2 linked regions of the Saccharomyces cerevisiae S288C genome follow. Each later gene encodes a partner of the first gene's protein in a complex. Each region holds a gene or a part of one and is shown on either strand. Other genes may lie near its edges. A codon is read from its position in the direction of its gene.

The links.
Region 2: the proteins of STU2 (region 1) and TUB1 are in contact, whole or in part, in a crystal structure (PDB 4U3J), measured with the Saccharomyces cerevisiae proteins. Residues at the interface, in NP_013146.1 of Saccharomyces cerevisiae: Asp513 (codon at 1,676), Thr514 (codon at 1,673), Gln515 (codon at 1,670), Pro516 (codon at 1,667), Arg519 (codon at 1,658), Phe523 (codon at 1,646), Asp546 (codon at 1,577), Leu548 (codon at 1,571), Lys549 (codon at 1,568), Lys551 (codon at 1,562), Lys552 (codon at 1,559); in NP_013625.1 of Saccharomyces cerevisiae: Tyr109 (codon at 2,258), Thr110 (codon at 2,261), Val410 (codon at 3,161), Gly411 (codon at 3,164), Glu412 (codon at 3,167), Gly413 (codon at 3,170), Met414 (codon at 3,173), Glu415 (codon at 3,176), Gly417 (codon at 3,182), Glu418 (codon at 3,185), Glu421 (codon at 3,194).

Annotation. Positions count from the first base shown.
Region 1 is NC_001144.5:234,492-239,687, forward strand, and holds STU2 (Stu2p), read right to left. Parts: upstream 3,213-5,196; coding exon 546-3,212; downstream 1-545. Other genes in the region: YLR046C (uncharacterized protein), read right to left, coding at 3,510-4,322; FRE8 (putative ferric-chelate reductase), read right to left, coding at 4,856-5,196.
Region 2 is NC_001145.3:97,423-101,217, reverse strand, and holds TUB1 (alpha-tubulin TUB1), read left to right. Parts: upstream 1-1,817; coding exon 1,818-1,842; intron 1,843-1,958; coding exon 1,959-3,277; downstream 3,278-3,795. Other genes in the region: YML083C (uncharacterized protein), read left to right, coding at 168-1,424. UniProt on the Saccharomyces cerevisiae protein: Tubulin is the major constituent of microtubules, a cylinder consisting of laterally associated linear protofilaments composed of alpha- and beta-tubulin heterodimers.

The sequences.
Region 1 (5,196 bases):
CCGTAACAACACAAAATTGTTCTCAAATTCATAAATTATTCATTTTTTCCACGAGCCTCATCACACGAAAAGTCAGAAGAGCATACATAATCTTTTAAATGCATAGGTTATGCATTTTGCAAATGCCACCAGGCAACAAAAATATGCGTTTAGCGGGCGGAATCGGGAAGGAAGCCGGAACCACCAAAAACTGGAAGCTACGTTTTTAAGGAAGGTATGGGTGCAGTGTGCTTATCTCAAGAAATATTAGTTATGATATAAGGTGTTGAAGTTTAGAGATAGGTAAATAAACGCGGGGTGTGTTTATTACATGAAGAAGAAGTTAGTTTCTGCCTTGCTTGTTTATCTTGCACATCACATCAGCGGAACATATGCTCACCCAGTCGCATGTTGTTACCCTCATGAAACATGTATGAGATATTACTTTGAATAGGTTACTTGCATGCATTTCGGCGTGCGGGTACCACCTCTTTGCATGAGCTTGTTCCTTTTTCAAGTTGAAGACTATATATTTTATTGAGTTTATGTTATGGGGAGGCTACCCTTTACGTCCTGGTTGTCCCTTCCCGCCTTGATTTGGCCTTCATTTTTTCAATTCTGGCCTTTAGGGTAGATGTCACTGCAGCGGCACGTTTATAACTTTCTTCTGAGGCAAAACTATCGTTGAAATCGATATCCAAATCGTCGGAGACACTGCTCACTCCAGTGCCGTTTTTTCTGTACGGCCGTATGTTAAGAGAGTTTACGCGGTGCGGCAGGTCGCCGATGGACTCGCTTGATCTTCTTTCATAGTTGACGTCCTCTTTCCTTCTGACATCTTCCTCCTCCTTAAATGGCAAAGCGGAAGATAAAGATTTTACCCCATAGTTGCTTGACACGGTGGAAGAAGGTATGGAGTATGATGAAATCGTACCCATCGATTGCAAGTTTGTATCATTTCTTTTCTTATTTCTATCCAATTCGATCTCCATGTTTCTAAGCTCGTTTTCTAGTGACAGTACTCTATCAGACAGCTTATTGACATCAATCTCCTTGGATCTTAATTGAATGTTCTTTTCGTTCAATTTAGACTGCGCTTCCTTTAGTTGCTCTCTTAGCATTTCGTTTTCTTTAATCATTTCGATCTTATAATTTTCTGTATTATTCATCTTTTCCAATAGGCTTTGTCTTTCTTTGGTCCATATCATCTCATCATTTTGTAGTTTTTGCAGTCTGTACTTGTATTCTTCAATCAACTTTTCATTCTTGTCAGTGCTATTAGCTACTACGTTTTTTGGCGTTGCCAAAGACTTAGACGTCAACAGGACCCTCGATTTATTGTTAGCAGCTACCATTGATGGTTTTGATGCGGAGGCTACTGACCCTATTGGGTTCACTTTACTTTTGTTATCATTTCTCAGCGGTGAAGATGCCACTCTCTTGGAGGGAAGTACAGAACTTTTTTTCAGGAGAAATTTATTCTCCATTGGCCCAGTTTGTTTATTCGTTTCAATAGTGCTATGGGTACTACCACTTGCAATACTGAAATTAGGTAGAGTTTTGACCGTTTCTTCAATTTTTTTCCTTTTCAAATTATCCAAGTGCTCTAATGTTTTCACAAAGGTATTCATGCCAAATATTTTAATTAGAATGGCGAAACTCTCAAATCCAATAGTTCTTATAGCAGGTTGGGTGTCGTTGACGATCTGAATCACAATTGGTACCACTTCATCCTTCAAGTATCTTTGCAGGGTCGAGTATCCATCTTTTTCTTCTTTCATGCTTGCATTAAACAATTGCGTACACTCCATTCTGATTTGAGGTGTCTTGTGCTTCATATGCTCCAAAATATCTTTCAACATATCTTCATTGCGTCCACTGGAGGCTAATGGATCGTAATACTTGCAGATGGTTAATAATGCCTTCCTAATGGCCTCTATCACAGAAGGTTTCTTTTCCTTTGTCCTGTCTAACAAGGGAGTGAAGACTAGTGAAACATAATCCTTGGAAAAGCCTGGTGTTTTTAGTTTGTCGCAGATTAATTCTACTGATTGAGCGGCTAGTGCAACAGCTTGAATGTTTGCATCTTTCTGGATAATATGGCCATATATCCCCAATAAGTTGGAATAATTTTGCGAGGTGCTTTTTAACTTCTTAGTCTGCGATAGAACACTATCCCAAAATTCTTCCAGCGCTTCCACTCTATCTTTCCATTTGGACGACGTTATCCTTTCCTGGAAGTCCTTAGGCAGTTTATCGAGGATCGTCTCCTCCGGTAGCATACTGAAGGTGTCTATTTGAACTCCACTTTGCTGTTTTGATGGTGGCATATCCGTTTCCATCCCCATCAATGTATCTCCATCCTTATCTATCTGATATTCCCCCTCATCATTCGATAATATGGACTTTCTTTTCCTGGCTTCCTCCTCTTGGCTTCTTTTCTTTTCCAATTCTCTTTTCTCCCACTCGAATAACATTTTCGATGACGATGGCTCGTCACCAACTTTTGCAAACAATTTATGAAGATCTTTCACTTGAATTGGTTTTAATTTTTTAAACAGTATCTCCTCTAACAAGTCGCTATTGTTGCCCGTAACCTTATAGATCTCGACAATCAAATTCATCGTTTGTGATCGAACGTTTCTATCACCATGACCGGCTAGTTGAGGTACGTGCTTTAATAATTCTGGTAGAAACGTTTGAACGTTCACATTAGTGAGCCCGAATGCAGCCATCAACTCATAAACACAATTGGCTGCCGCAGCAATTAATTTTGGCAGTTTTTTCTCGAAAAAGGGTATTACCAATTCCACCGATTGCGTAATAGATGTATCAAGACCACATAGTGAGAGTATACAGCTCATCGACTGCGTCTTCGTTGTAGCCCTTGAGGACGTTAAGCCCTTTTCCACAAGCAATGGTGTCCATGTTGATATTAAAGTAATATTATGTGCATTTTTCAAAGACGATGACGCAAAGGCATCTATTAAACTATTCAAGGCAACAATGGCTTGTTCTTGAGCGACCACATTAGAATCAGTTATATATTGTGCAAATAATGTAGGATCCCTCCAGTAAATTTGTATGTTGTCATCCCTACTGATGTCGCCAACGGAGTTTCTAAAAAGCTGGTTTAACTCCTTATAAGCTTCTAAACGTGCCTTCCATAACTTGTACGTTAATCGCTCTTCTAGGGGTAACGTTGTATAATCTACTTCTTCTTCTCCTGACATAGTCAACTTCAAACTCTTTAATAAAAACTCAAAAATACTTTACACTGTAAAGATAGCTGTTTCTTTGTAGTTTAGTAATGCTATTTGGTCCCTAGGTCTGGTAGGTTCTTCATTTACTCTTCCTATGGAGTGTCAAGCAGACAAAACAAAAACAAAAACAAAAACAAAAACGACACGAAAAAAAATAGATTCGTTAACCATGATAATCTTTGCACCATATAAAGGAAAAGACAAGATTGACTTCTAATGCCCAGCACAAATATTATCCAACTATTTAATTAATAAATTTTTGACTACTTAATCTTCAGACACAGATTCCTTGTCTAATAATTTGTTTAATTGAATATTGACAGATTTATCCTGCAGCTTGAACAAATTTCTTGCGCGAAAGGTTGCTAGGAAAATCAAAGGTAGTAAAAACATTAGAACTGTATCGAAAACGTAAAGGCACCATTCGTGCTGACCTATATAGCTTTGTAAGCCCATTAGAAATTGTACTACTCTGACAATGGTTCTACCATTAACCAGCAATATCCCAGCTAAAAGTATAAAATTGTACTGGAACCATTCATTACTATCCCGCACAATTTTACTAGGCGTTGCCTTCATTTTATAGTGAAGAAAAAGTTGACTGAACGTTAAAAAGGTATAACAAAATATCTGAATGAAAAGACCCACAATAATTAGGATACGCCCAGTATTCCTGCTGTTCCATGAGGATAACAACCCACCTCCTACAGCCTGTAGGACACGCCCAATCATATCTGCCACTACGAAAGAAACTGTACTAAATTTCGCAGGAATTAACATATATGCCTCCATAAGAATTAGACGTGCCATTTTGCTGAACAACATAAAAATACTAAGGGCGTAAAGTGAAGGTGCTATCAATAGAAGCACCGATTGAGCAATGAAAGTCGAAATCGAGGGGCTATTGATAAAGACTATTTTCAACACATAACCCACGAACTCTAAACAAATCCCTAAAACGAAAGGAAAATGTGTCCACATCAAACCGCGGGCAGGAAAGTATATTATTGTGGAATTTTCCTCTGACAACTCATTGTTTTCCCAGCGATGAATACGTCTCTTGCTCGTGTGTGTTGCCATTATGATCTGCACCAAGGCAGAAAGGATTAAAATGCCAAACAGAACGACAAATGCAATCGCTGCACCTTTGTGAGGATTGTATGCATAAAAACCTTCATAATCAGTGATTGCTTTAGTAAAAAAATTCCTATTGAGGCAGTTGAGTTCTTTTATCGACAATAAGTCTCTAGTACAGTAGTGAGAGTGTCATGTATTCAGTACCAAGAAGAACTTATATGCCTTTTATAATTCATCTTATAAGTTGCTAGACATACAAATAATCAATATGGAAATGTGCTTATTCCCGCTAATATCCATTAATATCCGCTGTCATTTTTCGCAACTATCACCAAGTGGAGAGAGGCTTGACAACCACCAGAAAAAAACTAAATCAGCCTGCGGAACTTTTCTCGGAAAAAATCAGTTAGAAAAGATCGTACATAGGGCCCTTTTTTGACAGTAAGATTAAAGAGCAAAACGGGACATTATAGATATGCCACCATCAAATACGTGAATTTTCCAAGCCTCATAAACTAATAGCCAACTTGCAACTCTTATAATGCAAAACTTTCTCCGTGAAAGTGTAAACCACCATCTGTCGCCCATCTTTTGGTGCTTTCAATTAAGCCTCTAGGGCCTGCAGCGAGAACCCATACTTGTGACAAATATTCAGCATGGTCTCTGCCTTGATTCGCCCACCTGCAACATTGAATAGAATCCGTCTCTGCATCACATTCGGTTTGCAGACACCATTCATAATCCTTATCTCCAAGTGTAGGCCTGCCAAAGAACACTTTAACACCTGCGGGAATTCTGATCTTTTTAGGCGCCGCCTCTAAACAAGGATCTTGGGCAGGTGGCTCAATGATCTTTGGTTGTCTGAAAACGCTCGATC
Region 2 (3,795 bases), on another chromosome or scaffold:
ATATAAATACATTCGGGTGTATACGTAAATATATAAATATATAAAGTAACATATGTATATAAAGACGAAAGATTGAACGCCATCGTGGAGAGGGTTTTCGTATGAAGGTGCCTTAAGTCTTGTGTAGAAGTAGTTCTTTAGTTAAGATAGAACCTGGTAAAGACTCAATGGACTATTTACATGTATATAACAACAACCAGGCGCACGTTCCCAGAACACCTCCAGGCAGGCAGTGCCTATCGCCCGTTCTGCCCCCAATCATATTGGCGTTAGATCAACAACATTCGCTGACATTTGGGTACTCCAGCCCCAGGTGCTTGCCAACACCCATATTGCCTTCTATGAGCACAAATACGCCCGTCCATTGGTCACAACAGGTTGTCACTATCCCTGTCGCTGTACGAAATCATGCCGCAATGATGCCTATTATCACACCTATGACCTCCCCAAGACCTCAGTTTGAAGCAACGGCTCCCTCACCCCCTTTGGCCCCGGTCGCCATAAAGCTGCCAGATTTGAAACTACCACCGTCGCCTGTGCCCAGCACAGTAGAGGACAGAGTTTCACATCCTATCCTGCCCAAAATTGTGATCGGGAATGGCGGCGGCCGTGATGTTGAGCGAGATAGTACCGAGGAATTAATTAGGAAGATTCCAAACTACATTGGTTGTGCAAAAACAAAGGCACAATTGAGCAAAGTTAGGTCTGGTAAACAACTAATTGCATGCGCACAGGAATATCACCATCCAGTAAACAAGGACGAGATCGAAAATATCAACAACATTCTAAACTTCAGGGACTTTATTTTCAAGCATCCAAAATCCTCCTTCGAGTTCCTATGTACCCTGTCGTTTGAGCAGTTCGTTAGAGTATATTCATTCATTAGTTTCATCTACAGGACAAAGAAAATCAATAAGAACAAGTACGAACTCGTTTGTGAGATGAATGTTCACGAGCAACTCAGCAATAAGCGTATACAAAGAACAAGGACTCCTGAAAAGTACAAAATACATTTGATCTGCGAGTCAAAACTCATACTGACCTTCAACCACTGTACGAAGACAGTAAAATTTGAGTCTATCAATGGCGGGCACTGCCATCCGATTTCAGCCAACCACATTATCAAGCCCTCCCTCTTCCTTACCCACTGCATTAATAAATGCTACCAGACCGTGTCAGACCCTACCGATTTGAAATTGGCATTGAGAGACGCCTTAGAAGCCCTTGATCATGAAAGGATAGGATTGTCTTTCTTAAAGAGGAGACATTTCAAGTGCTCACACCAAGCATCATCACTCTCGAATGCCAGCGCCACATTGAAGAAACAAGAAGATCATGACACATTTGGTGTACATACAGGAATAATTCATACGGCAAATTTCTTCATGTTTAATGCATCTAGCGATATATTCCAGAGGAACTAACATATATAAATATCTGTATCCTTCTTTAAGAAAACACAATTGCATACTTTTTCCATTATAACTGACTGTTTCAGATCCTGCAATAGAAAGTATTTTTTAAGTAATGAAATAGTGCTTCCATTGATAGTAAGTGAGTAATAAGACGATCGGAAACTATTAATATAAGTATAGTTTACATATATATATATATATATGTGCCAGACGATAATATCACCGTAGTTTCCGGCCGGGTTATGCCACGCGAAAACGCCTCGAGCCAAGGGAAAAACTAAACTACAAAACAAAACAAAACAAAACAAAAACATCTACTATATCGTTTTACCCAATTCAGTATATCCGTCTACAACAGTTCTCGCCACCCAAGATCTGTAAACTTACAACTGCAAACAAACAATGAGAGAAGTTATTAGTATTAATGGTATGTTCGATTTGCCCGTCCAGGCTAGATCTTTTTTTTGTTAGTTCATTTTGGCGTTTCATCTTTCATTACTAACTTCAACGCAAAATTTTTTTTTTTTTGATTTCTCTTTACAGTCGGTCAAGCTGGTTGTCAGATTGGTAATGCCTGTTGGGAATTATATTCCCTTGAGCACGGTATTAAGCCGGATGGACATCTAGAAGATGGCCTTTCAAAGCCGAAGGGAGGAGAAGAGGGTTTCTCCACGTTTTTCCATGAAACCGGCTACGGTAAGTTCGTTCCAAGGGCTATTTACGTGGATTTAGAGCCCAACGTTATTGACGAAGTCCGTAACGGTCCTTACAAGGACTTGTTCCATCCAGAACAGTTGATCAGTGGTAAGGAGGACGCGGCTAATAATTATGCAAGAGGCCATTACACCGTTGGTAGAGAAATTTTGGGCGATGTTCTGGATAGGATTAGAAAACTGGCAGACCAATGTGATGGGTTACAAGGGTTCTTGTTTACCCATTCTCTTGGTGGTGGTACTGGTTCCGGTCTAGGGTCCTTACTGTTGGAAGAACTATCCGCTGAATACGGTAAGAAATCCAAGCTGGAATTTGCCGTATACCCTGCTCCACAAGTGTCTACTTCTGTGGTTGAGCCTTACAACACAGTTTTAACTACACATACTACATTGGAACATGCAGATTGTACTTTCATGGTCGATAATGAGGCTATTTACGACATGTGCAAAAGAAACTTGGATATCCCAAGACCAAGCTTTGCAAACTTAAACAACCTAATTGCTCAAGTGGTATCATCTGTTACAGCATCATTGAGATTCGACGGTTCATTAAATGTAGATTTGAACGAATTTCAAACCAATTTGGTTCCATATCCAAGAATTCATTTCCCCTTAGTTTCATATTCTCCAGTCTTATCCAAATCAAAGGCATTCCATGAGTCCAACTCTGTGTCAGAAATTACAAACGCTTGTTTTGAACCTGGTAACCAGATGGTCAAGTGTGATCCAAGAGATGGTAAATACATGGCTACTTGTCTGTTATACAGGGGTGATGTGGTAACAAGAGATGTTCAAAGAGCTGTCGAGCAGGTGAAAAACAAGAAGACCGTCCAATTGGTTGATTGGTGTCCAACTGGTTTCAAGATCGGTATTTGCTACGAACCTCCAACTGCCACACCAAACTCACAATTGGCCACTGTGGATAGGGCCGTCTGTATGTTGTCAAATACCACATCCATTGCTGAGGCTTGGAAGAGAATCGATAGAAAATTCGATTTAATGTATGCCAAACGTGCTTTCGTCCACTGGTATGTCGGTGAAGGTATGGAAGAAGGTGAATTCACCGAAGCTAGAGAAGATTTGGCTGCTTTAGAAAGAGATTACATCGAAGTGGGTGCCGACTCATACGCTGAGGAAGAGGAATTTTAAGGTTCACTCTCGCCCCCAACCTCCTTATCCTTTCTATATTTCAAGTATATTGTAAAAAAAAAAATTCCCCCTACTGTTATATCTCTTTGGTGATATCTTATCTATAATCTACTTATTATATTTCTCTAATATCTATGTACAAAAAATAAAAAAAAAAACCATTCTCCTTCTCTAACCTGCATTTGATGAAAGCTTAGTAAGTCTCATCGTAGTTGATGGGCCAAAGACATTTGTACTTGTTTCATCAGATTCTTACATCACCCATTTCCATGATTATTTCACGGATTTCATTAGTAATTGCATTTTTGTATCCCTAGTTCCTTTTCTCCCGCCTTGCCGTCGAATTGAAAAAAAAAATGGAAATGAGGACATCTTCCATTGATATCCAGGACAAAGCAAGAGTAGAAGTAACTATTAGCAAGGAGAATTCCAAAAATAGTGAACTTCAAGGTAAGCAGATCTATAGTTTCAATATCTGATTTTCTGCTTTTCAAAACTTAAAATTCATTAGAAGGTAA